3 linked regions of the Lonchura striata genome follow. The protein of the gene in region 2 binds, or shares a complex with, the protein of the main gene of each other region. Links are inferred from orthologs where the notes say so. Each region holds a gene or a part of one and is shown on either strand. Other genes may lie near its edges.

Evidence for each region.
Region 1: the proteins of NAA20 (region 2) and SNCA are in contact, whole or in part, in a cryo-EM structure (PDB 7STX), measured with the Homo sapiens proteins. The link is inferred for Lonchura striata from reciprocal best matches to the Homo sapiens genes NAA20 and SNCA. Residues at the interface, in NP_057184.1 of Homo sapiens: Leu23, Thr24, Glu25, Tyr27, His73, Val74, Thr75, Ala76, Leu77, Ser78, Leu110, Phe111, Tyr137, Tyr138, Ser139, Ala140; in NP_000336.1 of Homo sapiens: Met1, Asp2, Val3, Phe4.
Region 3: the proteins of NAA20 (region 2) and NAA25 are in contact, whole or in part, in a cryo-EM structure (PDB 7STX), measured with the Homo sapiens proteins. The link is inferred for Lonchura striata from reciprocal best matches to the Homo sapiens genes NAA20 and NAA25. Residues at the interface, in NP_057184.1 of Homo sapiens: Thr2, Thr3, Leu4, Arg5, Thr8, Cys9, Asp10, Leu12, Phe13, Phe15, Asn16, Asn19, Leu20, Pro22, Leu23, Thr26, Tyr27, Gly28, Ile29, Pro30, Leu33, Gln34, Leu36, Ala37, His38, Pro40, Glu41, Pro49, Glu52, Met54; in NP_079229.2 of Homo sapiens: Ser226, Glu227, Ile228, Asn259, Asp261, Asp262, Trp263, Gln264, Arg318, Arg321, Leu325, Lys362, Pro363, Cys364, Thr367, Asp368, Val371, Leu457, Thr459, Glu460, Leu461, Ser504, Ala506, Leu510, Leu532, Asp533, Lys535, His536, Ile537, Gln538.

Annotation. Positions count from the first base shown.
Region 1 is NC_134606.1:53,436,418-53,446,968, forward strand, and holds the start of SNCA (alpha-synuclein), read left to right. Parts: upstream 1-6,817; 5' UTR 6,818-7,024; intron 7,025-7,065; exon of another isoform or gene 7,066-7,190; intron 7,191-7,481; exon of another isoform or gene 7,482-7,636; intron 7,637-8,066; exon of another isoform or gene 8,067-8,184; intron 8,185-8,414; 5' UTR 8,415-8,439; coding exon 8,440-8,560; intron 8,561-10,551. UniProt on the Homo sapiens protein: Neuronal protein that plays several roles in synaptic activity such as regulation of synaptic vesicle trafficking and subsequent neurotransmitter release.
Region 2 is NC_134611.1:4,010,751-4,020,167, reverse strand, and holds the start of NAA20 (N-alpha-acetyltransferase 20), read left to right. Parts: upstream 1-5,357; 5' UTR 5,358-5,483; coding exon 5,484-5,536; intron 5,537-5,667; coding exon 5,668-5,692; intron 5,693-5,780; coding exon 5,781-5,871; intron 5,872-7,106; coding exon 7,107-7,242; intron 7,243-8,187; coding exon 8,188-8,333; intron 8,334-9,417. Other genes in the region: RABGGTB (geranylgeranyl transferase type-2 subunit beta), read left to right, coding at 1-131, 2,016-2,156. UniProt on the Homo sapiens protein: Catalytic subunit of the NatB complex which catalyzes acetylation of the N-terminal methionine residues of peptides beginning with Met-Asp, Met-Glu, Met-Asn and Met-Gln. Proteins with cell cycle functions are overrepresented in the pool of NatB substrates.
Region 3 is NC_134620.1:11,681,549-11,691,106, reverse strand, and holds the start of NAA25 (N-alpha-acetyltransferase 25, NatB auxiliary subunit), read right to left. Parts: upstream 4,430-9,558; 5' UTR 4,399-4,429; coding exon 4,341-4,398; intron 1,716-4,340; coding exon 1,630-1,715; intron 658-1,629; coding exon 519-657; intron 1-518. Other genes in the region: TRAFD1 (TRAF-type zinc finger domain-containing protein 1), read left to right, coding at 4,969-5,018, 6,920-7,055, 7,126-7,179, 8,175-8,403, 9,352-9,558. UniProt on the Homo sapiens protein: Non-catalytic subunit of the NatB complex which catalyzes acetylation of the N-terminal methionine residues of peptides beginning with Met-Asp, Met-Glu, Met-Asn and Met-Gln. May play a role in normal cell-cycle progression.

The sequences.
Region 1 (10,551 bases), on a different chromosome or scaffold from region 2:
CTTTGCAATTTTTGGTTCCCCTGAGTCAGTCTCTGGTTTAATGTCAGCATGAATGGGAATTGAATTGGACCAGTAGTTGGTGTTACAAAAAAGTGCTGGCAGATGATAACAGTGTTATGAGTTTATGTTGATTGGAGTGGCACCAGCAAAAATACTCAAGGGACAACTTGGCTGGGAAGCTAGAATGTAGGAATCAGAGAAATGAGAAGAGAATCATGTGTTGCCAGATAAGACTTTAAGTTTTCCCTATGGGTTAATATCTGAAAGAAAACCACCACTTTTCCTTTATGAGATGTCTACTTTCCTTTAAAAATTACAGAAAGAAGACAGTTTGATAGAATGAAGTATGCTCCTGTTTGGGTTTTCCACCTGTTCAAACAGTTTTCTGGTAACTAACTGTAGTATCTAATTTAAGCTGCTGCCTTCCTGGTGCATCTCTTGAGAAATGCTGCCATCCAGGTAATTAATGTGCTGTGCCTGCACTGGCTCAGATGCCTATATTTGCAGTAGGCTACTTTAGAACATGCTGTCTTATCTTTGACCTTGGAACCATCAGGTGCTGGCTTCTCAATCAAACAGAACTTTGTATAAGACAGATGTTAGACCTGACTCTGGCTTGGTGGTTTCCACTTTTTTAGTATTAGCATTTTCAGTTATATGAGGTGCTGATAACACATTGCATCGCACATGAGGAAGGTGATTGTTTCTTTCAGGTAAAATCAATTTATTGGTGCTATGCAGCTTGGCCTATTCAGTCTAGAGAAAAGGAGACTGAGGGGAAACCTCACTGCAGCCTACAACTTTCTTGTGATGGGAAGAGCAGAGGTAAAACACTGAACTCTTCTTAGTGGTGACCCATGATAGGACTGAGGGAATGGCCTGAAGCTGTATCAGGGAGATTTAAACTGGATATTAGGAAAAAGGGTCTTCACCCTGCGAGGGGTTTTGCACTGGAACAGGCTCCCCAAGGAACTGGTCATAGCACCAAGCTTGACAGAGTTCAAGAAGCCTTTAGACAATGTTCTCAGACACATGGTATGACTCTTGGGGATGTTCCTGTGCAGGGCTAAGAGAAGGACTCAGTGAGGTCCCTTCCAACTCAGCATATTCTGTAATTCTGTGGGAAACATCTTAAAGAATAATCAACACTGATTTTGCCAGACACCCTTAGGTCAGCCTCATCTGGTTGTCCCTGAGTAGAAACATGCTGCCAGATGGCTTCCTTGGCACTCAAGATACTGCTTTTCAGAGTAAAACTTTGCTAAAGGTTTCAGGTGCAACAGACAGAGTTTCTGCGCCCTTTAGGGCTGAATTTCTAGCCCAGAGAGATTAATTAATGAATGAAATGTCACCATTGCTTATAAAAGCTGTGATGGCTCTGTAACTTCACCATTGACTGCAAGTGAAAGAGAGGTAAATGTGTGGCAGGTTCTGCCTGTACAGAGGTGTATAAAGCTGTGAGACCCTTCTGTCTGGTGATTAGAGTTGTGTCAAGATTAGTATAGCTGAGCTGAAATCCACCAGATGAGGGACATACATCAATCTTCCTGAAATATATGTATATGTACATCTGTGTGTGTAGGTGTGTACATACATCCAAGTACTCCAATACAATATATGGATGTCATATTGTCTATATCAGTTAAAACGTTTGTGAGGAGTTCTATTTGCATCTCTTGGCAACAGATAGTGGACATCCAATAGCCCAGCCCACAATAACCCATCACCCAGTTATAGCTATCAAAACAGCTTACAAACAGAAATCTTTGCAATGGGACTGCTGCATAATAACAAATATTAATTTTAAATTAATAAACTGAATGCTTCCACTGGGAAATTAACTCTGATGTGGGTTGATTCTTGATTGTATGAAGGCTTTAATACATGTGCTTAACTTTCAGTGGAGTAAACATCATGGGAACACCATGTTTGCTCTGGAGTGTTAAAGTACAACACTTATGAGCATAAGAAAAAGATGTTTTGCTAAATCTCAGGCTTACCTGTAAGCAACAATGAAGTCATCTTAATATTTTTTTTTCAATTGAGTGTATTTTTGAGTTCTCAGAAAGGGGCACACAGGTAGTTATAGCATGGTCAGTAAAGACGGCAACAGTTCCCAGAGGGAGCTGAATGGGAATAGAAATGCAAACGTGATGCAGGAGTCTAGGAAACTGATCTGAACTCCTAGTTGCCTCTAAAGCAACCCATATAGTAAACTATTCTGTAAGAAATCCAAACACTAAACTATATGTGTGTAAATTGTTCACAGTTTCTCACAGTTAATGTACATATCCAATGAAGACCATTTTCAGATTATCTGCTCTAGCAGCCAGAGGCCCTGCAAGGCCTCCCTGGCGGTCACTTGCCTAAGATAAGAAATGCCCAGTCATGATGACTGGACCAAAGAAGTCCCTCTTCCACCTTTGGACTCTCATTACCTCTCTGTAAGGCCATATTTGCCTCGACCCTGGCCATTGGACCATTTCCAAAACCCCTGCACCCTATATAAACCTGCATTTCTACCCAGTTCAGCAGAAGAGCTGTCACTGTCACCTTCACAGGAGCTGCCAATAAAGACACTTCTGTGGAACCTCATACAACCTTCAGGAGAAGGCTTCTCTCCCTGTGTTTGCTGGGGCACCTTAGCAAGCAAAGAGCTGAATCCTGAAGAGCTGAATTCACCAAAGAGCTGATCTCACATAAGAACTGAGCTGCTTGCTAAGATTGCCTGGGGATGGGAGCTTGCCTGTGGGACCTGGACAGGTTGTGCTTAGCTGTACCTCGCTATCTGGGACACCTACAGCAGCCAGGGTCAGATAGACCCCAGGAACCCCAGGCTGTAATTATTGGTAGAAGAGCCTTGAAGCAGTGTAATCAATGTGAACTGTGAACACAGTGCCCTAAGACAGCTTCCCTTCATACTGCAGCTTTCAGGTTTTCAAAAGTACCTTTCGTCTGAGGTTTCGTTATAGTTTGACGCTGGCACAATGCCAGTGCCCCCATGAAAATGTGATCCCTCCCTTGAATGCTGTGAAGTGGAATCTAGAACAGAGCAAAGCAGGGCCAAGCTTAATAACAGAAAAAAACTTTATTAAGCTACTACTACAAAAGAAAAAAAGAAAGGAAAAAGGAAAAAAAAAAGGCACACAAAGATAAAAATGAAAACCTTGCAAAGCATTCCTCCTCCCACCACGCAACTCCAACAAACCACAGTGAGACACAATCTGGACCCCAATCAGGTTTCCACCCTCCAGACAATCGATACTCAGCCCCTTCGAGGGAGGCAGGAGTCTCTCCTGTGCCACACACCCCCAAAGAAACACAGCTGGAACATCCTGTGTTTCCATGTCACACGTGGCACTGCCCGGAGAAAAGTTTGCCATGGTGACCCTTCTCCTTTCCATGTACAGTGCTCTCACCACCAATGCATGGATGGACAGACTGCTTTTAGGATTTTTCCTTTCAAGGATGCCTTGCCAAGAGGGGAGAAAACAACAGTTCAGTTTTTCTTTTTTTTTTTTTTTTTTTGGACCACAGTCCCCCCATTTTCCCATTTTCCCCTAGGGCCGAGGGTCCAAGAACAGAGATCTTCTTCTCTTATCTTTCCTTTTAAGACAGGGGCACCACCACAAACCCCCTAACTTTTTCTCTGTTCACTCCACTTCTGTCTTTTCCCAGCTGAAGCAGGTCTCTTGACTCACTCGCATCTTCCCAAAATACAGTCTCTCTTGGAGGAGAAGATTAGTTCAGTTTGTGGCTATATGGAAAAGTCCAGCCAAAAGCCACTCCTTGTCCCCCTCCCATCTAGAATTCCTCCTTCTAACATCCCAGGGTCCAAGGTGTCCCTCTTCCTCTTTTTCAAACTGAGGAGGGGAAGGAAAAATTCACAAAGCTTTAATTTCTCAAAGAAGGGTTAAAAGTCCGAACTCCCAGGGATGGCTCAATGCCCAGACTCCGGTGGCTCCCACGCACTGGGCACCTTGCAGCTCCCCCTGCTCCTCCTTCCTCACGGTGGAAATGCTGACAAAACTGCCGCTGTCTTTTTCTCTCTCTCTCTCTCGGGAGAGACACTCTTGGGGGGGAACGGAGACATCCCAGATTTCTTCCACCCTTCCATCTGCAGGGGCCAGCCCGGTTCCAGTCCTTCCACCACCCTTGGGGCCTACCTTTCAGGCCATGGGGGCTTCCCCTCCCCACACAGCCACGGCTGGGCAGGGGAGAGGCTGCACTGCGTGCTGACCGGAACCAATAAGAGCGAGTTCCCCTGGGAATTCTGCTTTCAACCCCTCTGTGTTCTCAGAGGCGTGTCCACCTTCAATTGGTCAATATCCAAATTGACCTCTTCCTTCCAGAAAAAATTCTCTTTCCGTGTCAAACCATGACAATCACCTATCAGTCCTGTGGTACACAGGGAGTCTGTGTGAGTCAGTAACCCAAAATCAGTAAATTTGGATCAATTTTACTCTGCAACCTTTTTCAATTGTCCATAATTGTTCTTTTCATAGTGATAAAGTAGATATACTTGATCACTAGCAACTAAACTAATAAGCTAGCCTGCAAGGCAAGATGAAGTAAAGAAGATTTTAGTACTACTTAATTGATTTTTGCTTTAGATGATCATGTGAAGTAAACAGTGTCATTAAATAAAGAATTGTTTTAAATGTGATCAGTGGGCAATCTGTTTGCTACTATCCTTTCTTCAGACAGAAAAGGCTTCAGGGGAGAGCTTGCTGTGATACTAATAGTACTGAAGAGACAACCTAAAAAAAGCCCCAACCAGCTCTTTAGACAATGTTTAAATAGGAATTGCCTTGGATATACAATGTCCATTCTCTACCATATTTAATTCTGTTTTCCACCTAAGTCCCATTCATTTTCAGAATGAAGAATTTCGTGTGTCAACATTTGTACTCTGTTTTTTCTTACTATGCCTCTTAACCAATGATTTAGAATTTAACAGCTGCCTAGTTTGAATCCTACAGCTGAAATTTTAAGCTTTACTTCTACTGTGGCAACTGATCCCTCTTGCCTTTACCTCTCTATTTCTAGCTGTATGATTTTGTTAAAGGACAAGCTGTTACTTTGTTTAACAGCAAAACATAATGCCTGTCTTTGATAAACATAAGGCAAAAAAAAGACTGCTTGCAAAAGCTACGAGTTGCAAATATCTGAGCTCTTCTTCCTAAAGTTTTCAGAAACAGAACCATAAATATACAAGGTTGTTTATCATACAGGATTATCTGTTCCTCCAAACATAATTAAATACAATAAGTCTGTGTAGATTGATGTCAGCATAATAAAAAACAACATTTCATACTCATAGTCACTTGCATGGAAAAAGTAAAGCCTTCTTTAAATCTGGAAGATAATAATTATATAAGGAATGTGAGATTCGTTTTAATTCTAATTTGGAGTCTAAGTTTTCTGCTCAGGGTAGTATAAAATGACTGACTGAAGGGTTTTCAAAGAGCCAATTTACATACTAAGATACACAAATTGGGCCAGTTAACATGTGCAAAGAATATGATTTTGATTAAATTTTATTTACTGTCTGGAACTGTACTTACTGTCCTCTCCCTAAAATAGGAATAAAATAGAAATACCACATCTAGCACTACTAACTACAAATGTGCTGCACAGGATCAATGAGGTGAGGTACCTTATGTAATTCAATTTCTAGGCTTTTTTGAAGGTTTTCTTGATGGCAGAATGATGAGAAAATTATTTATTTGTATACATCTGTGTATTACCAGTCTGAACACTGTTACACAAAGAAATAAAATCTGTTGCCTAATGCTTGGTTGATTAAAACTACTAGTAGAATGAAACAAAATAAAGTGTACCAAACAATACAGAAATATTACTTACAAAGAAACCTGACAAGAACAAGACCCTGCACTACATGTTTAGCATGAGAACCAGGGATGCATCAGCTGTCTGCACGGGATGATGGATGAAAGATACTCCTTGCAGCTCACAACCTGGTATCATCCATGTTCTGTTTCTCCTTTTGGAGTGCAATAAAACCCAAGCTGTTTCTGTAAGTCTTGCAGGATTTGAATTGATGTACTGAAACTGAAGGTCCATCTGTTCTAGTGCCTTGTCTCCTACTGGTCTTGGCTTTTCATGCTTAAATTCTGTGACCAAAATAGAGAAATTTGATAGGTTTCCCTTTCTGGGGAGAAAGTGACTTTTCTGCCTGAGTTTAAGATTTGGGTGGCAGTGGCCATGGATTGTGTGGAGGAAGATGCAAGCAACGGTGTAAGGGTTGGGCAAGTCTGGCCGTACTTCTCTTCATTTGGGATGAATACTCTTCTGTGTGTGCAATAGAGTTAAAACTCGAATTACACCTGCAAGAGCACCACCACCTCCCGTGCTTAAAATGAACTGGAAGCATGAATGTTGTGAGAACAGTGACATTGAACTGCAGTCATACAAGGTTGAAGATTGGGAAGTAGATGAAAAAGAATTAGAAGCTGGGGGAGATTTTGTAAGGCTTTGGTGAAGTGACTCGGGGCTGTGCCGCAACAACAGCTTCCTTACACTTCTAAGATGAGGCTCTCCAGCCCTTGGAGGGAGTGGTGACTGTGCGGAGTCCCAGGGGGACCAAATCGCCCTACCCACCTTTTTAACCCTTGCTTCTCTCTCCAGAAGGCCAGCAAACAGGTGCTCCCAGTTTATCACGCCTCCCACCGCACCGCCGCGCAGGACGTGACAGGGCGGGCGCAGGGGGCCGGGCCGGGGGCGCATCCTCAACAGGGAGCAAGAGCCGCTGCTCCTCCCCGCCGCGGCTCATCCTCCCGCCCCCCGCCCTCGCCTCTCGCCGCCTGCGGGGCTGCCGCCGGGGTGGTGCCAGCAGAGCGGGCGGGCTCCGAGCCTTGGGATGTGCTGAGCAGGGGCCGCTCCGCGCCTCGCTCGCCCGCAGCCGCGCCGCCCCCGCCTGTCGGAACGGGTCGCTCGCCGGTGGCGGAGGAGCCCGGCGGTGAGTGCGGGCGGGGCGGGGCGCGTCTGCACGGAGCCATAGGTGTGTATCTAATACCAGAGACAGCTGGATAGATCTGTCCCGTTGCACGTTCCCGTGTGGGCACGGGGGAGGGAGGAGGAGCCGGGCGCCGTGTCCGCCGTGTGCCGACGGCGTGTCCGCGGGAGCCCGAGGGTGCCCATATGGTCGCGCCGCTCTCCTTTCCTCGGTAGGTGCCTCGCCGCGTGCATGTATTTATATGTTTGTGTATGTATAAGCTACATATATGCGCACATACGCCCTGCTTCCTCCCTCCTCCCTCTGCAGGTGCCCATGCTCTTTGATGCACACCCGCGGTCCCCCGGTGCCCCCGCACCTGGTCGCGGCACTGCCCCGGGGCCGGGCCTTGGCACCTTGCCGGTGGAGGAGCCGAGGGTCCCGCGGGCCGGTGCTGCCTCCCCCGGCGCTCTGTGCAAGGCACCCACCCCCCTTCCCCATCCCCAGGGCGGCAGGTACCGTGGGCAGCTTGGCTGGAGCACAAACGCTGCCTTCCTTCGCACGGTCGTCACGAGTTAGTGGAAAGCTGCGACGTCCTCAGATGCCTTCCTAGACATGCATTCCTCCTACTCAGCCTCTGGCAAAGAAGAGAAGATAACAGGCAGCACTCATGTCTGTGTGGGTGGAGGAAGAGAAAAGATGACTGATAATGGATTTGTTGGAGGGACGGTGATTCTGGGTTTTAATTACTATTTAAGTGGTTTCGGTGTAGTACTGGATTGTATTGCTGTGATAGGACTCTCTTGGTAGCTTTAGTGCAGTGCTTTTAACATCCTGCGTTCTTGCTTTTGCTTTTTAGTAAAATATTTTCTCAGTTGTGATGCATGCAAGGAACCCATTCAGGAAAACTCAGTTTCCAAAAGGTTGATGTGGACTGTGTGTAAAATGCTGGACTAATGGAAATGCAGCATTTTTAATTTTCTCCAGTCCTGAGTTGTAATGCCATTTTCTTACAAGTGAACATTTGTCATTTATGAGAGGTTTTGATTTATGTGTTTTGGTTTTCAGTTTGGTCTGTTTGTTTTTAAGTTGCTGATGTTTATTTAAGTAGGCTTTTTTCTCTGGATGAGAGGTGGAGTGTCATCAAATCACAAGACTAAATCTTGCATTCAGCACATGAACAGAACTGTCCTTTGGGAGAAATGATGACTTCATAGGCAAGGAAGGTACTTATCTCAATGGAACCATCTTCCAGTCAGAACTCCATTATTGGTAACCTCTCCATAGGATTCTGTGGAAATGGGATATCTGTTTCATATAGCTATACAATTTGGGTGGTATAAATAATGTAATTTAAAAGTAATTGTGATCCCATTTGGTTAGAATATTTTTCCCCTTTCTGGGATAAAAAACCTTACTGAAAGTGTGTACTTTTTTTCTTTTTTTTTTTCTCTAGAGCTGTTTGAAGAAAGTCTTCAGCCATGGATGTGTTCATGAAAGGGCTTTCCAAGGCAAAGGAGGGAGTCGTAGCAGCAGCAGAAAAAACCAAGCAGGGTGTGGCAGAGGCAGCAGGAAAGACGAAAGAGGGAGTCCTGTATGTGGGTAGGTGGGCAGCAGAGAGCACGCTGCTGATTGGTGCACCCCAACATTCACAACTGGATCCTCATCAGACCCCTTCTTCTGCAAAAAAATATTTAATTGCTCATAGGAGACCATTGCAAAAGAAACAAGAGGAAATTTGTGCCTTCTTGAGCTCTGGTTCTTTGAAGCCAAGTGCCTTACAGTACAGGTCATTGAGTGGTATTACATGCAAGTCTGCCAGATCAAGGCTGAAGGGGTGGTTGGTACAGCAAAAATAAATATGAAAAAAATGTAAAAGCTGGAGGTGAAGGTAGCTCTGTAATGTTCTACAGAGCATGTGGGACTTGAACAGGATTTCAGGAGGAGACACTTGAGAGGTTAGCTCAGGACTTGTGTGGTAGACATGCCAACTGCTTGGTATGTTGACAGTAACATTTTGTATGGCAAAGTGCTATCTTTTGAAATTAATTTCATGTTGTGTAATTGCTATTGCAAATTCATGGCAAAAATTTTCCATGACTTCTCAAGGAAGTGCCTCTACAGTTAATGAGGTAGCGCAAGTAGACCCCAAAGTAGCAAAGCAGTTGTTAGTGTCTTATTCTAGGCCAAACTAGTATTCCATAGAGCCTGGGATAAAATTATTTTCAAACCCTTGAGTGGTACTTTCATTCAGGGTAGTCATCTTCATTTAGCAAGCACTGAGCTTTAGAAGAGTGTCTTGCAAATGCTGTCATGAAAAATGAACAGAAAAACAATCTGTCAAGACTATATATGAGTAAGTGGTTATTTATAAAAAAAAATTATGGCTCTGTTTCTCTTATTCATCAAATAAAGCTAGTCTATAAAAGAATGGAGGGGGAAAATATAGCCTTTTCTGTAGGTCATTTCTGTTGATTTTGTAGCAAGTCAGTTCTGTTATGGGAGATGTGCTCACATAACAGAGAGAAGTTAAAACAGAGCTGAAAACCAGAGTCATTTCTTTTCAATGGGAGTACTGAGGTCTCTGGTATTCCAGTGCCTTTTTTGGATTCCCTCTTGCAGGCTAGTGCCAGTCTGTAAGAAATTATTTCTGCTCCAGATAGTGTGGACTACTCATTTGGAATATACTTCCCTCCTTTTAAAGCCATAGCAAAGCTCAGTGCTCTTGCCAACAGGGATGGCAATCATTTTGAACACTAATTGCAGGATGAATCTCTTTTAAAATAAGTATCTGCTCATTTTCAAGACAGCAAAATAGATGTTCTTCCACTGTATATTGTGCTTGATGTTGGAATTATTTTCCAGAGGTAGAACTTCTATTTTGTTTTCTTGTAGTCCTGGCTATGCTTCTGGGGTCATTGATTTTTTTTTTTTTTTCGTATTAGAAACCTGCATTGTGTGCTAAATTAATCTTTGTTTCTGACCTGTTCTCCAGACCATAATAACATTTGAATCTAGTTCTGTTCCCGAAGGCAACAGACTTGCTGTTGTCTTCAGAGACACTTTTGCTGAGGTTGAACGTTGGAGAGCAGGCTTGCTATTTTTTGCAAGAATTTCAAGCAATTGCTGGTGACCACAGAGCCCTGAGCTATGATAGGGACTTGTGCATGTAACTGTAGTAATGGTTGGAGGATCCTTCTCCCAACAGGTGTCTCCTTTCCAGGAGGCAAGAGCTATGTGCACAGTTTGTTGTACAGGCAAAAGAGCCTTTGGTTGGAAGCTGCCTCTAGAAGCTCTGGCAGCTTGTGTCCAGTTGTGTGCTCACCCATACAGGCATGACATTTCAACAAGTTCAAATAGGGAAAGGAGGATGTTTCTCTGTCTACTTCCCAAGCACTCAGCAGAGTTGTCTCTTCCCCTGTGCAGCATTAGCAAAGGCCAGTGTGATAATCTTTTGTTCCACAGGTTGATAATGATTGCAGTGCAAAAGGTGGTGAAGGCCCTTTATGAGCAGAGGAGAGAAGCAGCACAATTCATTAGAGTTCATTAATACTTCTCACTCCCTTGTTCTATAGTTGGGTTTTCAGATTTGA
Region 2 (9,417 bases):
CGTGGTGGGTGCTAGCATCTTTGAAGATGATTGGTAGGATACAGTGGATTGACAGAGAGAAACTGCGCTGCTTTATTTTGGCATGCCAGGATGAGGAGACTGGAGGATTTGCTGACAGACCGGGAGATATGGTGAGATTTTTTCTAAACAAAATACACATGAAAATTTCAACTCGAGATTTCAACTTTTGTTTGAGAGTAACTCTATTCATGGTTCAGGTAGGTTTTGCAGAGGCTGCAGTTTACTCTGAAGGAAGAATAGGGAAGAGTTGCCATTGAAGGCGTACTTGGGGAGTGCATTCTTTACAACACACAGGTATCCCCCAGTGAAGTCTGTTGCCATTCCTTACAAAATCTGGTTTGGTCCCCCATAACACACGCAACACAAACCATTTCTCACAAGACCATTTGGAAGATCTGTCTAAAAACACTCTATTTGGTGGTGGGTTTTCCAGTGCATGTATGGGTACTTTGGGTTTATTATTTTGTTTTGTGAAATGATCTGCAAGCTAAAGTCTGGTGTAGGTTAAATGGTCTTCAGCTCTCTTGTTGTTTTGTCTGATCTAATTAAATAATGAATTTTTATTTAGAATCCCTATACACTAACTTTCATTCTTTGCTAGCCCAGCCACTGAATGAGTCTTGTAGTTGACATTTGTCTAGCTGAGGAAGAAGCTTTTGAGATAACATCATCAAGAGGCTGGTGCTATGAATTTTTTGCTTGTTGAGAGAGAAGTTACGATTTAGCTGGTCTGTTCTCTTTGATTTCAAGTGGAACTAATTAATATTGTCCCAGTGAAATGGCAGATAAAGTTTTTATCTTTCAAGAATGCTGCACAGATAAAATATGAAGTGTTGTGAGACTTCATTCCTGTTGAACACTTGGCTTATTTTTAATGGTCTGGAAAGGTATTATCTGTTTTTATTGCAGCTGCCCATATCTGCTCCCTTCTCCACAAATGCATTCAAAAATAAAGTAACTTTATTTTTTTGCAAGCAGCTGCTTTATTCCCAGTTGGGGGAGAAATCTGTTAACGCCAATCTGTCATTTAGAAAGTGTTTTTGTGTTCTTAAAATAGGAAGAGTTCTGAGTTTCTAAGGAGCTTATGGGAAGACCTTTTCTGTTTTCAGAATTCTTGAAGAAAAGCCCGGAACTTGAAGTCTAAATGCTTTTCTAGCTTTGAGTAATGAAATATATGCATCTTCTTGGAAGAGCAACTCTGAAGAGGCTTTTCTCTATATCTAAGGAGAGCACCTTTGGGACAGCTTTTCTATGTTACATTAGCAGTAATTTAATATTATTCTTACCTGTCTTTGATTGCTGAAGTGTAGAAAATTCTACTTCTGTAGAAATGTTGACTTCCTGGTTTTTGCTTTATTCCTGTAGAAACTCAGTCCTAACAGACCTTGTTTTGGGGTATTTTGTGTTTGGGTTGTTAATTCATTTGTTTGGGGGCGGGGGGGAGGGGAGAGAGGGGTGGTGGTCTTAGGAGTAGACGTTTGGGGGGGTTTTGGTTTTATTTATAGCTGTGGGAGGTTTTCTGACATAATAGGTTGCTGCCTCTCTCTCAAGGTTTTACAGCACAGCTCTGTATTTGGAAACCAATAAAGAGCATTATGATATTTCTGAAGAACAAATGGGGAATTTATGGAAGTGGTACCTGTAGATGATCCGGTTTACTTTTAAAATGTTAATTATCTTTGCTTCTACCACCCTGTGATATTGCATGCTAATAGACAAATGTGAGTGCTTTCTATCTCAGAGATGAAAATTGTCTTAGCAGCAAATAGACAAGCATGCCTGAGTAAATCATCGTATTGTAAATACCTGCTATGGAAATTTCTTGCCTGTCAGGTCATGTTAGCACAAATGAAAGTGTATTTAGTTGTATTGTCTTTCCCAGAGAAGCTGTGGAGATTCTAATTTCTCTTGCTGGCAAATGAAAATTTCATTTCATACAAGTGAAAAACAAATCGACTTTTGGAAACAGACACAAGCTTTCTTTTTTCTTCCAGGTGGATCCATTTCACACCTTATTTGGTATTGCTGGACTATCTTTATTAGGAGAAGAACAAATCAAGGCCGTCAATCCTGTCTTTTGTATGCCAGAAGATGTCCTTCGAAGAATAAATGTACAGCCTGAGCTTGTAAGCTAGGTCTCATAAGAGACAAAAGATTTTTATGACCAATTGCTTTGGTTTTACTGATTTATAATCTCATCTGTGAAACTGTCAGCATATACTTCTTTCAGATGTGTTTACATTATGGAAGTAAAGCAGTAGCTTTGCTGTGGACTTTGTCACTTCATAAATTGTTTCAGAACAGGCTGGTTCTCATAACCTGAGTGTAACATGTTATTTGGTTGTATTCTAAGATGTGTAGAAACATTTCAATTCTGTATCTAAATGTATGGGCCTTGGCTTTTTTTTTTTAAATATAAGATTCAAATTAGAGCTTGACAGTGTGAATGCTTAACTTTTCTATTCCTGTAATATCAACCATGCTAGTACTGGTCTTCATACAGGCATCTTTTGATGGTGGATCATGCAGAGCACTTTAAAAAACCAAACCAAACAAACCAATAAAATCCTACCTAAGCCACACACTTAATACAACACACGTATTTAATTATTCCTCTTCACATTTGCCATCACTTTTCTCTGCTGAGAAACAGCTGCTTCTTTTCACAGTAATTGATACCAGTAATACCATAATTATGGTTCTTCTAAATATGCAGATGTCTTCATTTAATGATGAGTCCCTTAGACAAAATTCTACTGATACTTGAGATACAGCATACCTTGAGTATGTACAGTGAAAATTGCTAACATTAAACATTCTAGGGAAGGTCTCTGTTGGATGGTGACTTGTAATTGAACATAGAGTTGATTCTAAATCTGTTGCTGGGTTGAAATCCTGCTTTTGTAGCTTTTAAGACACTACTTGTCAACATTTGATTTTGGTGTAATTGAAAATAAAACTAGCTGTGGAAAATATTTGTTCTCTGAAGGGTGAAATCATCTTTGTCTTCATAGAAGTGCTAAAATTACCTCTTAATTTACACTCCACACATCCTAGCTGGGACTGAATGATATTCCACTTGTAATATATAGTAAAAGGTAATTGGGAAGGGGTAGAAGTGCGGGAGTTTGTAATTTTCCCTTCTTCCCCCATTCCCCCTTCCCCCTTCCCGCGCGTTCCCCCTCCCTCCCGTGGTCCTTTGTCCCATTCCTGCGTTCCCTTGACCTTCCCCCTCGCCACGCGGTCCGGTCCCTGCCCCGCCGCTTTTCCCCTCGCTGTCCCCGCGGTTTCCCTGCCCCTGTCCCCTGCCCTGTCCCATTGGCTGCGGCTCAGGTTCCCCCCGCCCCCGGCACGGGGTATAACCGACCCCCGGTCGCTGTCCCGGTGTCTCGGGGACACGCTCCCACAATAAACACGTGTCTGCACCCGAGTCCCGCGTCGCCATTTCGTCTGTTCCCGCGCTAGAACTGAGCCTCGCAGAGCCGAAGGGGAGAAAGCGGTGCCGCCTCTCTCCCCCTCCCGCTGTGTCCCGCCGGCGCCCGCCCGGAGTCGGTCGAGAACAGCAACAAGGAAGTCTTTAATAATCTCTGTACTTACATTTAAGTAAGGCCTAAAGTTGTTTCACCTGTACTTCACTCAGCAGAGATAGCCACACAAGATTTGACCTGCATAGTTTTCATACTAGCAGAACTATATATTGATGTGTAGTCATTTAAAATAAAAACTCAAACTCACTGAGTAGAATATGTTGGCTTATGCTACAATATTGGGAATTAATTTGATAATAGTAAAGACCACTCTAGCCATGACCAGTTTTTGAACCAATTTCAGTCACAGTAAAAAAGTGCCTTTTAGCACTTTTTAGTGCCTTTTTTAGCACTTCAGAAGCAAAGGCTTTACCTTGAGTACAGCAAAGCAGCCCAAAGTCCAGTTTGGCTGGAGCGAGTGTCTTAGCCACGACAGTCAAGTGAACGGTTGAGCTTTTTCTGTTCTTAAGGGTGTATTATATTATTCTTGTAGTTCTGCAGTAAAAGAGTGCCTCAAGCAGGAGAGGGCTATAAAGCTATACATTTCCTAACTCCTCAAAGGCTCAAGAACCAGCCTTAAAATGGTATATTCCATCTCCCACGTTTCATATATCCCTTCATACCTCCACCACAATCCAGTATCTTCCTGCTTCTGGCAACTCTGAAATCCCACATCACTTTTGCACCACAACTACAGACCTTGAATCAACTTTTTCTTACCAAAACATTGACCCTTAAATTATCAGAAATCTGACAGATCTCGAATCTGACAGGCTACACTCTGTTTGAAGTACCCTTGCCAGCATCTCATGATTATAAATTCCAGGTCAAGAAAGGCCTCTTTCATTGTCCCAAAACATGTACCCAAACTCCATTCACTGCATCGCATGCAGAACTTTAAAGGGCAAAAACCAAACCCGCAGTATAGCCTCCAACTTTTGGGCAAACCTTCCTTCACAATAACTAGAGTGATCTGGGTCCCTTGCAGTGATAACTTCAGAAATAGCTCAGCATTTGAATGGAAGTGAGAGGAATGGCACAGCAGGCCATGTGGAGTAGGTGAATGCTTATGGGCATATGCTTATGCTCATGGACATCTTGTTTCTTTGTTTTTTTGGGTGATGCAAGAGATGCTGTGCAACAGGTGAGTGGAGTATAGCCCACTACTGTGGACAGTATTTTTGTGGAAGAGGTCCATGTTGGCTGGCATGACCTCCAGCCTGTGTTTTTGCAAATCATGAAGAGGCACCTACTGCTGATGGCAGCAGCATCCCAGTTAAATAGGTGTTGTTCTTCTTGAGGATTAATTCTGACTCACAGCCCTCTGAAAGCGAAGTTGATGGGCCAGCGGTCTGAGAGGGCAAGGTGGAAAGACTGCAGGGTGGGACGAGCAAGGTGCTGAAATCAGTGGAGAGTGGTGAGGGGCGTTCAGCATCAGTGATGTTTTGGTGCTGAGAGCAGCTGTGGGATTCATTCCACATGAGGCGAGCATGTGCTGGGCACGGCAGTTCCAGTGTGTGTCCGATCTCGTCCGGTGGCATCTTTCCAGGTGCAGAGTTGTTTTTCTGCGTATGGTAGTCTCGCATACTGCGGTCACGTCGCGTTACGTGTAGCTTTGTGAGTGCTCGGGGTGGAGCTGCACAAGCTCACAGCACTCGTGCTCCTGTGGCCGCGCTGGACCCTGCCCCGCCGCGCCGCACTGCGGGCCGGCTCTGCCGTGTCCCCCAGGCAGCCCCGCCCCTTCTCGGCCCGGCGCGCTGCGGCGGGCTCAGGCGCGGCCGGGCCGGGGCGGTTCAGCGGGCGGGGACAGGGCTGCGTAGGGGCGGGGGCGCTGTCTGCCGCCTTTCCACCGCGAGAGCGGCTCCTGGGCCCGCGAGTGTTTCCGGGGCACTCGTCACTGTCGCGCTCAGCGTCAGCGTCGTGATCGCCATCATCATGACAACGCTCCGCGCCTTCACCTGCGACGACCTCTTCCGATTCAACAACATGTGAGCGCCGGCTGTCCCCTCTTCCTGCCCCCGAGCCCTGCGCGCTTCCCCACCCCGCGGGGTGCTCGCGGCGCCCCGCCGGCCGGCCGGGCCCGGGCCCATGCTGAGCGCCACACTCTCTTCCCCCACAGCAATCTGGACCCGCTGACCGAGACCGTATCCTTCCCACCGGGGCAGGGGCGCGGGACCGGGCGCGGGCGGCGCAGCCGTGGCGGCCGCAATTGCTCCTTAACTGAGCGGCCAGTACGGGATTCCCTTCTACTTGCAGTACCTCGCCCATTGGCCCGAGTACTTCATCGTCGCCGAGGCGCCCGGCGGGGAGCTGATGGGTTACAGTGAGTGCCGGGTGTTCCGGCGGTAACGTCTCCCTTCGTTGCCTATTTCGGGGATTATAACGCGGGAGCTTTTCTTCGCGTTTACCAAATGTCCAACATGGAAGAGGAACCTTGCGTTGCGTCTTCCCGTTTCTTAAATGTCTTAGGGTATTGTGCAGGACTCATGGCCGTAGCTTCCAGTTTGATGTTCCTAGCGCAGCGAGGAGCCTTTGCTGTGGTATCATCCACCCGTATTTGGTGAATGGGTATTTCTGTAATCTGAAATTAAGTCCCTACCCACAGTCACTGAAAGTGCTGGGCTTGGATTTTGCATTGCCCTGTAAGGGAAAGCTCTGGGCCTGGATGTCATTTGCTAATTTGCTGTGGAATATTTGTGTTTTTCAGAAATCATGCCAAAGAGAACTGCCAGGAGATGGTGTGGGACAGAAGTAATGGTTTTTGTAGGGACTCAGGAACTAAAAATATTTGACATACTAAAGCTGAAAGTATGTGTGCTGTATAGAACATTTCTCTGTACCCACCACACTTGTTGATTACTAGCAGTGACTGTGATATCTATAAAAGCACAGGGTGGAAGTGTGAATGTTCATTAATAAACTAACACTGGACTGGCCCAGTGTAGAAAGGAGAGAAACTAAAAAAAAGCCCCCCAAAACACCATCCCCACCTCCACTTTTTTTTTTGTTTTGGTTTTTTGGGGTTTTTTGGGGGGGGGTTTGGTTGTTTTTTGTGATTTGTTTTTTGCTTTTTTTTTTTTTTGTTCTCCTTAAACACGTTGGGTTTGTGAGTCTTAGCTTTCTATTGCCAGACCAGCAAAGCTTCCCAAGCTGTTTTCCCCCATAATCTCCAAAAGTCTCAAATAGTTGCTGGGATGGTAGTTTTGGTTCCTAGCCCTCTATTCCTCCTTTATTTCAGTCAGATCTTAAATTTTGGTTCGGTGAGACTTGTGAAAATTACTTAAAATTTGCATTTAGAAGTCACCTCAAGGAAGGAATTTGCAAACTTGTTTAGTGTTTTTTTGCACTAGTCAAAAAACCGCTGTAATATTTGAGCAAAATGACATTTTTAGTGGCTGCTGAATTTAGAGTGAAAAGGTAGACATCTCTGTTCTAGCCTTTCTCACAGTCATTGTAATGTGTGTTTTTCCATGGTTTATTCCTCTTGTGAAGCTGTCTGGCTGCGGGCAGTGCATTACTCCAAAGGTGCTGCTGTGCTGATGCTCTCTGTGTTCACAGTCATGGGCAAAGCCGAAGGCTCTGTGGCTAGGGAAGAATGGCATGGACACGTTACTGCTCTCTCTGTTGCACCAGAATTTCGACGGCTGGGTTTGGCTGCTAAATTGATGGAGCTCCTTGAAGAAATTTCAGAAAAGTGAGTAGTATGTCTATCTTAAATTCATCTTTTAAAATAACATTTAAAAGTAGTATTTCTACAGAAACCTGTCCCTGGTTTTATGTGGCAGAATTTTGCTTTACACGGTGTTCTGATTTTCTGAAATTCCTCATAGTTGGAGAAAAAGAGTTATGAAAGTTGCTTAGCAGTTTAAAATCTCAGGGTTAGCTAACTTGCCAGAGTGAGGAGGGCATAGCCTGAATTCCAGTAGAGATACCATATAAAAGAATATTTCTTTTTACAGGAAAAGAGCTTTGTGAAATATCAGCACTGTTTCCTGTAGGTTCTCCAACATTCTTGTTCAGTAACCGTAGGCTTTGTGCCTGAACAAATTTTATACTGCAAAGAGTATCTTAGTTTACTTGCCATCCTGTGCTTGATTACTTGTACCTGAGAAAATTTAATTTAGTGTCAGATGAATCCACTGAGAAATGTCAAATGTCCTTAACTGATTTTGGTAGGGCAACCCCACTATGGTTAGTTCCATACTACTGAAAAGTAGCATGATGTTTTGAAAAATTTGCCTTGTGAAATTAAGGGTCTGTCATCTCCTGTTAGGCAGCTGAATTTTGTGACTGATTCCACTCCTCCTAATCCAAGCCATCTAAAATGTGGACACTTTCTAAATTGTATTTAGGCCTGTGAGTGCATTTAACTTGTCTTGTTCTTTCTGATCAAATTTCTGAACTCACTGCCTGATGTAGAATGGCCATGTGACAAAAATAAAATTAAATCCTTGTCTATAATTGATTTTTCCCTTGGTAAAGGAGCATATCTGTTATGACATTGGCAAAGGTGTTTAATTAGTATACTACATTGGACTTGCTTTGGTTTCATTACAATTTATGGGTTGTTACTTAGAAATGCATTTACCTGCCGTTTCTTAATGTAGTTTTGTTTGTTTCTTTTCCTCCCCTGCTAAAGAAAGGGCGGATTTTTTGTCGATCTCTTTGTGAGAGTATCAAATCAGGTTGCTGTAAATATGTATAAACAACTAGGCTACAGTGTGTACCGAACAGTCTTAGAATACTACTCAGCTAGCAGTGGGGAGCCAGATGAAGATGCTTATGGTAAGTTCTTGTTTGGTCTCAAATTGAATGGAACTATTCTCATGTTGAGGGTTCCTGGGCTTGTTTGTAAGACTATTACTATGTTTTATATGAAGCATATAGAAAACCATGAAACAATTTCAGATAGTTGCTGAATAATGGGCTTTTTGTATCTTTTGTATTTTTGTAACTTTTCCTACTTAAGATTATATCAGTTACAAAACTTAGTCTTGCTGTTTACACATTTTGTAGCATCTCTGGCAAAATCAGCTGCAGAACAAGAATACCTGAGAAGGAATTTCAGTGCTTTCTTCCTTTCATCCCATAACAGGGACTTGAAATTTTGTTTTTCTCAGCTATCTACCTATAAATTAACAATTGTCAGCATTCAGCAATGGCAAAGAATTGGGTAACATTTTCAATTTAAAAGGGAAGGAACATGGAAATTCAAGTATGTTAATGTTAGTTATGTTAACAAAAGTGAACTACCAGTTGCTTGTTCTTTCTAGGTCCTTTTTTAAATTATCTTCCCAAAGGGTTACATGGCCAGGCTATGTATTGTTTCTGTTCTTGCACTGTTTATTTGATATGTAGGAGCACTGTGAAATACAAAGGCTCAAATAGGCACCTGCCATTGCTGCATGTGACTTAAGCCATATATTTGTCTCTTTAGCTTGTCATTTCCTTTCCATTTGGCTGAGTTTCATGCAGTGCTTTATATCAATTGCTGTCATTGCCATTGAGCAACATTAAGGACAGCAGTGTGTCCTGCCAAGATGGTGAGATGTCTCAAGAGCAAGATTTAGGAGGAGCAGCTGATGTCAATGAGTTTGTGCCACTTGCAGGAAAGAAGGCCGATGCGTGTCCTTGTCACAGTCTGTAACTTCCAAGGACAGCGGAGGGGGGTGTTGATCTCCTCCCTCTGGTGACCAGTGGCAGGACCTGAGGAGATGGAGCAAAGCTGTGTCAGGGAGTGTTCAGGCTGGATGTTAAAAGGCTCTTCACTGAGATGGTGGTTGGTAATTGCAATGGTCTCTCCAGGGAAAAGGTCATGACATCAAGCCCATCAGAGTTCAAGGAATATCTATCTGCACAATGTTCCTAA
Region 3 (9,558 bases), on a different chromosome or scaffold from region 2:
GGCATCTTTCAGAAAAGCACAGGAAACTTTCCTCCATCACTCCAACGCTGATGATTCAGTATTTTGAAAACACAAATCACTCCGAGGAACCTGACAAAGCTGATGTGGCCAAACTGGGAGGTGCGGATTCCCCTCCTGGTTTTCACCACTTTCCTGAGGCCTGAACCCCTCAACTACATCACACCTTGTGGGATTTGTCATCTCTGTCACTCTACTGGCAACAAATTCCAGTAGTTTCATCAATAAATGTGAACTCCCAGGTGTGGATCATTATCAACACGCTTCACTTAGGAGCTGCTACACAACTGAGTTCAGAACAAGCCTGAATGAGGATTCTTTTGCTTTATGAAAATCACTCCAGCCTTACAGGCATTACAACAGGATCACTTCAATTCTGAGTCTCTTAACAGTCTCTCACATACACAAATCCTGGATTTTACACTTTTCCCACCAAACTGTGGGGCACAAACCTTCCGGAAGAACACAACTAGAGATTTCTGGGAGAGGAACAAACTCACGTCTGTGCATTTCCCGGTAGAGAATGGTCAGTGCTTGCAAGGAATTATCATCTGTGGGTTCAAGTGCTGCTACTTCTTGTGCCAGGGCATAGGCTTCATCCTGCTTGCCAGTCCTCTGCAAGCCAATGGCCTTCAGCACCTGTGGACACAACACAGGCAGCTCTCAGAGACACAGTCTGCATTTGGAAACCCTCTCGCTCCTGCTGGGAACAGCCCAAGCACCTCATTCCCTCTGCACAACTCCAGGATTTATTAATCTTTTAATCCATATGGCTGGACAGGAAAACTCCCAAATGCAACAGCATCAAAGAGGGGATCTGACTTCTTAATAAATGCTGAGGTTGCCCCGAGGTATCATCACATAATTTCTCTACCTGGAAGCTGTAAACTGACCTGTCCTGGCAATTTTCCTTAGTTTTCTTTCACTAACTGGCCAGAGAGAAGTGACATAAACGAGAATCAGGTCAATGACACTCTCTGCAGCTTGGGAAGCTTTCAAAATGTAGAAGTGGAGTGAACTGCAGCAGGAAACCCCCAGGGAAATGAGAAAAGCAGAAAGAGTCACACGTTCAGAAAAGGGAGGAACAGAATCCCTTTCCCTCAACAGGGTCACAGCGAGGAAGGTGGACAAGGAAAACAGCAAATGCCTCCAAAATCATGGAATCCTGGAGTGCTCTGGGTTGGAAGGGACCTTAAAATCATCCAGCTCCATTTTTCATGGACCAAGTCTCCCCAAATTGGCCTTGAACAATTCCAGGGATGGGGCATCCACAGCTTCTCTGGGACACCTGTAATGTCTTCCTCAGACATTTCCTCCCAAGGAGATGTTTTGATCCAAACTCCCGCAGATGGCTATCCCAACCCCAGAACTCCAAGAAGCATTTTTAAATCCCAGCCCATGTGCCAAGGTCACCTGGAGTGGTGCTGACAATCAGCCCAGGTGGAACCAACACTCCAGTCCCTATCAGGTCATTTCCAGGCAAACAAGATGAGCTGGAACAGAGACATTCCAGAGGGCTCAGAAATCACTGTGGAAGCTCCCGGAGAAAGGGACAGTGGAACACCCCGAGACTCAGGCAGAACGAGCTCAGTGTCCCCCAGTCCCACTCACCTTGGCACAGTGAAGGTCCTTGTGCTTTTTGAGCAGTTTATCTGCTTGCTGGATTGCCATTTTATTATTGCCATTATCGAGATAATCTGCAGAGGAAGAGCACACACAAAATCACACCAGAACACCAAGGCCATTCTGGAAAGCCACCTCCAATTTTACCATGGAGCATCAGCTGTCACACCAGCAGCAAAAACCACATTTTCCCTGTGCAGCTTCTCCTAAGCCAAACATTCAGGAAACTGTCATTTCAGGGATGAAGGATTCATCTCATTGTACTGGTTTTAGTCACTCAAACAAACAAGCTTTTGTAATTACTCCACACAGATCATTACAGCAACAAAAGAGACACATAATAGAGAGGATTCTGCAGCAACAGCTCTTTGCTGGCAGTGCAGCTCCAGTGCTTTAGCAGGAAAAGTAGAAATTAATTTGGTGTGTCTTTGGGAGACTTTCAGTGACTTTTAACAGGCAGGAAGTTAGAAACCAAATACATACACACCAGCAAAGTGGGAAACACTTGTCTACAGCATCCATACCTCACAGGCAGAGCAAACCTGTCCCCCTGGAGTACCACTACCCTTCCACCAGGCTGGTTTTGAAGGCACAATTGTGAAGCATTAGTATTTCCTAGGGAGACATCCCACTATCTCCAGACCATTTTCTCCTCTTTTAGCTCAGAATCACAACTTTCAGATTGATCTTCACATCATTACACAATTACAAACAAGCAGTTTTAGACCAGGACACAACCCCTATATGCTCCCCTTCCCTCAAAAATCTCTCTTTCCTCAGCTAACCCAACTTTGCTGCCCCTCATGTGCCAAGGGAAGGAAGGGGCTGCTCACACTGCTCTGAGCTCTCTCCTGCCAGTTACCTGAAATTACATCACACACCTTTACCTCGCCAAACCTGTCATTCCCATTATGAGCCAGAACTTTTTTACTGAGGGTAATCCTCAGCACGAATTGTGCATCTATTCTGATTCACAGATTTCTGTTAAACAGCTCCCACATTTGCTCCTGTGGCCAGGTGGATGTTGCATATTTAAAGCAGAGTTAATTGGGCTCTTGAGCCCATCCACAGCAAACCTCTCACTAGTCAGCCTTTCCACACTCACCAAAATAAACACTGTGGCATGAAATCCAGTTTGAAGCCACAAATTTCAACTTAGGAAACCTCTGTGGAACCTCTAACATTAAAACTTTGGGGATTTCTCAGTGAAGAGGTTTCAAAGGTGTGGAACAGCACATCAGAGGCTTCTTGCTTTAAGGCTCTGTCACCCAGCTTAGTGACACACAAATTATCCCTCATGCTGAGCTGCCTGACTGGGATTAACAGCTGTGCCAAGAACATCTCAGCTTTGGGTGTTCCAAAGTAAATCAAATAACCCTCAAACCTCCCAAAAACACAGCAGAATGAAGAGACTGTATTTTCCTAACGAGTCAGGTTTCTGGAAGTCAAAGCAGCTTCCAAAGGAAATGAAGCTAAATGAAAATAAATTTCAGCCAGCGCTAGTTCATAGGTGGGGATGTTCAAAGGCTGGAAATGCACCACCTGAACCTTCAGGTGAAGGGAGAAATGTCAAGATCAAAGAGAACCAGAGCTGTCGAGGAATCCCGGGGAACCACTGCACAAACCCAGGCACACCTTGAAATCCAGAGGCAGACCTTGGGCCTCACAGTGCACCTCCCCAGCTGCTGAGGAGGGGAAGTTGTGTGCGTTTATCACACGCTTTATTTTGGTTTCTGCAGCACCACAGCCTGAGAGCAAATCTTGCACTGCAGAGAATCCTTCCCAGAACGAGCAGAAAGGAATTCTAAAGCTCTCTCCAAAATGAACGCAGCGAGATGCTCAACATCACCTGCTTTGGTATCAGCTGAATTTACTCAGCTTTTTATATTAGAACCATTTCTTACACAGGTTACGACAAGAACAACTGTACGTCAATGAAACTGCCAATCACAACACGGATGGAAAACTAAGGGGGGAAAAAACCTTAAAATCGTTACATAAAGACAAACGAACTTGAACACCTCTAATCGAACAAACCCATCTTGCTCCCTTCCCCTGGAACCCACCACGGACTCAGCCTGTACTGCACCATCCCTCTGCCCCAGCAAAGGACATCCCAAAGCACGTCCAGCCCCAAACCAGGGCAGCTCTCCACGGTTTCCATCCCTGCTGAAAAAGTTAAGAACGCTTTCCTCAATCTCTATCAAATCTTCAGTTCTAGGGACGAAACGATACCGTAGCCCGGGGAAGCGTTTTCCTTTTATTTCTCCATATTTGCATAGAGCCAAGCTTTGCCTACAACCTCCGAAGCAACCCCAACAGCGCAGAACACCCTCGGAAACATTCGGGGGGGACACAACAACGCCGGACAACTCCCAACGACACCGTCCCCTTCTACTTCTCTCCCGCCTCCCAATTAACTCCCCCAACAGCGTCACCGCTCCGTGCCACAACATCCAACCAACACAACTCCGGGGCACCCGCGGCTGCTCCCCCGGGGGTTCACCCATGCCGGCTGCCCCGCGGCAGCGCACACAGCTCCGGCCGGGGTCACCTGGGCTGCGCTCCCCCCAGGCCGAGGGGCACCCCGGGGCGCCGCGGGACCCCGGCCCGGCCGGGCGGGCGCAGCCCCGCGGGGCCGGAGCGCGGCAGGGCGGCAGGGGGGCTCGGGGGGCGGCGGCGGGGCGCGGGGTCCGTACCGTAGATGGGCCGCAGCCGGCGGTCGTTGGGGTCCTGCACATGGCCCCGCGCCGCCATGATGAGAGCGCAGAACGCAGCGCGCAGCCGCGGCCGGGGGCGGGCAACGGCGGGCGGGGCGGGGCGGGCACCGGCACCGGCACCGGCACCGACACCGGCACCGGCACCGGCACCGACACCGGCTCCGACACCGGCTCCGACACCGACACCGACACCGACACCGACACCGGCACCGGCACCGGCACCGACACCGACACCGGCTCCGACACCGGCACCGGCGCCGGCACCGGCACCGGCACCGACACCGGCTCCGGCACCGACACCGACACCGGCACCGGCACCGGCACCGGCACCGGCACCGGCTCCGACACCGGCACCGACACCGGCACCGGCAACGGCACCGGCACCGACACCGGCACCGGCACCGGCACCGACCTGATCTCACCCGACCCGACCGACTCGGAGATCGCCACCCGCTCCCTCAGCAGGCCGGCACACCCGCGCCTGGCGCCCCCCGAGCGGTCCCCGCAGGGCCGCGCTGTCGCTCTCGCCGGTGCCGCCCCCGGTCGGAGGCGGCGGCGGGTGGCCCGGTGCCCGGGGCTGTGAGGGGAGCGGGCACCGCACGGAGCCATGGCCATCGCGGCCGTGCCCGCCGCCGAGTCCCGCCTCTGTGGCAACTGGTGAGCGCGGGGTCGGTGAGGGACAGCCCGGGGTCGGTGAGGGACAGCCCGGGGTCGCTGAGGGACAGCCCGGGGTCGGTGAGGGACAGCCCGGGGTCGGTGAGGGCCGGGATCGGTGAGGGCCGGGCCGGGGTCGCTGAGGGGCAGCCCGGGGTCGGTGAGGGGCAGCCCGGGGTCGGTGAGGGACAGCCCGGGGTCGCTGAGGGCCAGGGTCGGTGAGGGGCAGCCCGGGGTCGGTGAGGGACAGCCCGGGGTCGGTGAGGGCCGGGCCGGGGTCGGTGAGGGACAGCCCGGGTCGGTGAGGGACAGCCCGGGGTCGGTGAGGGACAGCCCGGGGTCGCTGAGGGCCAGGGTCGGTGAGGGGCAGCCCGGGGTCGGTGAGGGACAGCCCGGGGTCGGTGAGGGCCGGGCCGGGGTCGGTGAGGGACAGCCCGGGTCGGTGAGGGACAGCCCGGGGTCGGTGAGGGCCGGGCCGGGGTCGGTGAGGGACAGCCCGGGTCGGTGAGGGACAGCCCGGGGTCGGTGAGGGCCGGGCCGGGGTCGGTGAGGGACAGCCCGGGGTCGGTGAGGGCCGGGCCGGGGTCGCTGAGGGTCGCACTCGCTGAGGGCCGAGCCGACCCCGCCGGCACATCGGGGTGCAGCTCCTTGGAAGGCGGAGAAACACCGGAGACGACCGTAGGGCCTTTCCCGTAAGCGCCAGGGCGTCGCGTTTCCCTTCTGATTTAGTAGGGAACTGAAATAGAAACCGAAACATTCGGATGGAAATCCAGGCTCGCTTTTCAGTGGGGCCCGCGCAAAATACACGATTCCAAGTTTTTTCTTCAGCGGTTCCGCGGCTCAGGAGGAGAAACGCGAAAATAGGATCAGTAGGCAGTGTTGTCAGTGTTGTTGTGGAAGTTTTTTTCTTTGATTACTCCTTTCTGCAGAGCCCAGTGGCTGGTAAGGAGTCACTTCACAAGTTGTGTGTTGAATTCAAGCAGATAAAGAAATAAACTTTTTTTGTAGTTGTTTCTCCCCAAGAGACATGAGAATCCAGACATTTTCTTGCAACATAAGCCTGGTTTGTTTGGTCAGTCGCTGCTGTTGGACTTCGTTGCTTTGCCAGGCTTTTGGCTGCCTGGCATCTGGCAGGGGACAGAAAAGCTGTGGTTTTAGCAAACAAAAGGTTATAAAATTAATTTAGGTGTTTTCAAGGTGGATTTCTTGGAAAGGGCATGATCCGTGTAGAAATTATGCTGTGTGTTTGAGGCGGGAGTAAGGACTGAGCTCCAGGTGCCTCAGTTCCTTTTGGTCTTTTTGTGTTTGGGTTCAAGACAGAAAACGAGCATATTAAAAATGTGGCGAATTGGGGAATTTTGGAGCAAAATGAGGCGAGTTGGGGAGTTTTGGGGTGCAGAGGAGTGTTGTTACTGCTGGGGCTCTGAGCAGCCTGGTCTGTGGAGGTGTCCCTGTGAGCTTTAAGGTCCCTTCCCACCCAAACCATTCCATGGTTCCATTATCTTGGAACAGGATCTGTCAGGCATAAAAAAGGCACTGTTTGCTTTCCAAAGCACTGTTTGACCTCTCAGAGCCAAGTTACTTTCAGGAAGAAACTTTTATCTTCTCAGACTAATTTATTAACTTGATCCCTGGTGATTACTTGTTTGTGCTGCAAGATTTCCCTTTCACATAAGGAAATAAATCCACCTGGATTTTATCTGAATGCAATGTGACTTTTGCATGTTAAATACATTAATAGCCACCTGTGCTGGAAACCTGAGGCCTGGCTGGGCCTTTTTCTAATCACTTTTAGCCGTGAATTCATTGAAATCTTTCTTAGCATTATCTTTTTGTTGTGAACAACTTTTTGTATTTGTTGTCAGTTTGTTTCTGCTCAGTAACCTCTAGCAATTTTCTCACAGCAAAAAGGATATTCCTGCAGTCAATTTCATCATCCATGAAATCCACTGTAGAAGAAATATTGAAATATGCCCCTACTGCAGCGACTCCATCCCAAAGTCTGAGATGAAGAACCACATTGATTCTGAACATGTGCAGGTGAGAGACATCTCTGCTCTGAAGCTGCCATTTCTGTGGAAATTCCCCTAATGAGGTCTCTTTGCTGTAGGTCACCTGCAAATGTAGGATGAAGATGGAAAGCAGCCTCCTAAAGGACCACGAGGTTGGTGGATTTTATATTCTTGAACCCTTGGGGGATGCTCTGGTGTTTCACTGATTCCAGAGCCTTTGGATGCCAGCATCCAGGTTTGTACATCCTTTTGTTGAGTGATGCTTCCTGAACTCACACCCTCTGGGAGAAGGGATTGGAAACTGCCCTAAAGTCCTGGAGCCTCTCAGGGCTTCATATCAGAGGGGTATCTGTGGTAATTGGTGAGTTTTTTGTCCTTGTCAGTTGAAAAATAGCTATTTAAAGTATGATTGACTTGACTTTTTTTCATTCCTTTACTGTTTCATGTTTCTCCTGAAGCCATTATGTGACTTCTAATAACTCAATCTGTCCAAACAGGCTTTAAAAATAGCCCGTAAAATAAACTAAAATAGGCCAGAGTGGGATTTTCTGAGTTCTGAATCCAGTTGGCTGCTGTCACAGACAATCTTGTTATAAATGTTATCCCTTCCTGTGGGCTCCTTTAGAGACAACTCTGGAGCTGCCACCTCAGCCTGCTGATTGCTGAGGAAAAAAGGATTTTCTGTGGAAATCTGTCCAGTTCTAAACCCTGGGAGTAGCTAATCCTGCATGTGGTTCTTCTGGATTATAAAGCAAATGATGATGTTTTATTAGTGCAGGTTGGTCATTAGTGCAGCATCTGCAAATATAATGTATTTAATTTAGTTTTAACCCCTTTTGAAGGGGGTTCAGTGTGGGGTGAAAAACATGTCCAAGCAGTTCTTGCTGAGCAGCAAATGAGGTGTGAGTTGGTTCCCTAAAAACGAGTGTGGATTTTAGCTGTGCTCATGGAATGCAACTGGATCTTGGGTCGTATCTAAAACCCAAGTCCAGAAATCACATCCTGAGTGTCTGAAGAGCTTCAGCTGCCCAGTTTGTGCCTCCAGCACATCACTGTTGCATTCCCACATCGTAGCTTGCTCCAGGTTCCTCCTTTGGAAGTGGCTGAGGAAATTCCCTGGGAAGAGTAACCCCGTGTGTTTTCCCAGGCGTCCTCGTGCCCCCTGCGCCCCGTGCTGTGCCAGTTCTGTGACATCCAGCTGGCCTTCAAGAAGCTGCAGGAGCACGAGCTGTACTGCGGGGCCCGGACCGAGCCCTGCGGGCGCTGCGGCCGCAACGTCCTGCGCCGGGAGCTGCCGGAGCACCCGCGGCTCTGCGGCGGCACCGCGCCGGCCCCCGCCGGGGAGCGCGGAGCCGGGAGCGGCCGGCACGGAGCAGGTACAGCAGGGGCTTGGGAAGAGCCAGAGCGGGAAAAGGAGATTTAGAGCGGCTGTGGGACACAGCTCCAGGGACAGAACCCCTAAGGACAGAATGTTAAGGGACCAGAACCACTAAAGAGAGAATGTTAAGGGACAGAACCACTAAGGACAGAATCTTAAAGGATAGAATCCCTAAAGACAGAACCTTAAGGGACAGAACCCCTAAAGGGACACAATTCCAGGGACACAACTCCTAAAAACAGAATATTAAGGGACAGAACCACTAAGGACAGAATTAAGGAACCAGAACCCTTAAAAACAGAATTTTAAGTGACCAGAACCTTTAAGGATAGACAGAATCTTAGGGGACAGAACCACTAAAGACAGAATCTTAAGGGACAGAACCCTGTAAGGGACACAACTGCAGGGACACAACTCCTAAAGACAGAACCTTAAGAGACAGAAGCCTTAAGAACAGACAGAATCTTAAGGGACAGAACCACTAAGGACAGAATCTTAACCAGAACCCTTAAAAACAGACTCTTAAGGGACCAGAACCCTTAAGTGGACAAAGGAAGGAAGAACTGGCTGCTTTTTGTAGCTGGTCTATGTGTGAGGTTTTGTGGTTCCTTTCTGTGAAAATACAGGATAGTGAATGCTCCAGAGGCTCCAGGTGGAAATGTTTACCCATGGAATGAGGTGCCTGGGATAAAAGCCCAGTTGCTTCTTTTTTTTTTTTTTTTTTTGTCTCAAAGTACCTGGCTTAAAAATTAAACTGGAGTTGTTTGCTCCCTGTAATTTGGGCTAAAATTTGGGTTTTTCTCCATCCTCCTGGATTTGTTGGAGGTGCCCTTGGCTTTGAGATGCTGAACTCCAGGGAAGCTCTGGGGCTGAGTCTGATGTCCAGGGGGAGCTGTTGGTGGCTGGTTTGATGTTCTCCCGAATTTACAGTATTTGTATTTCGTAGGAGATGAACAAGAGAGACCCGAAATCCTTAATTCCCAACTTCCTGAAGACTGGAATGCTGACCTGGACTATGTCTTGGCTCTCAGCCTGGAAAGTGAGAATAATCCTCACCATGATACTGCAGCTGACATTCCCAGGGATTTCTGGGAATACGACTACACCAAAGAGCCTGGACAATCTGCCCATCTTGATGGAACAGACCTGTCCA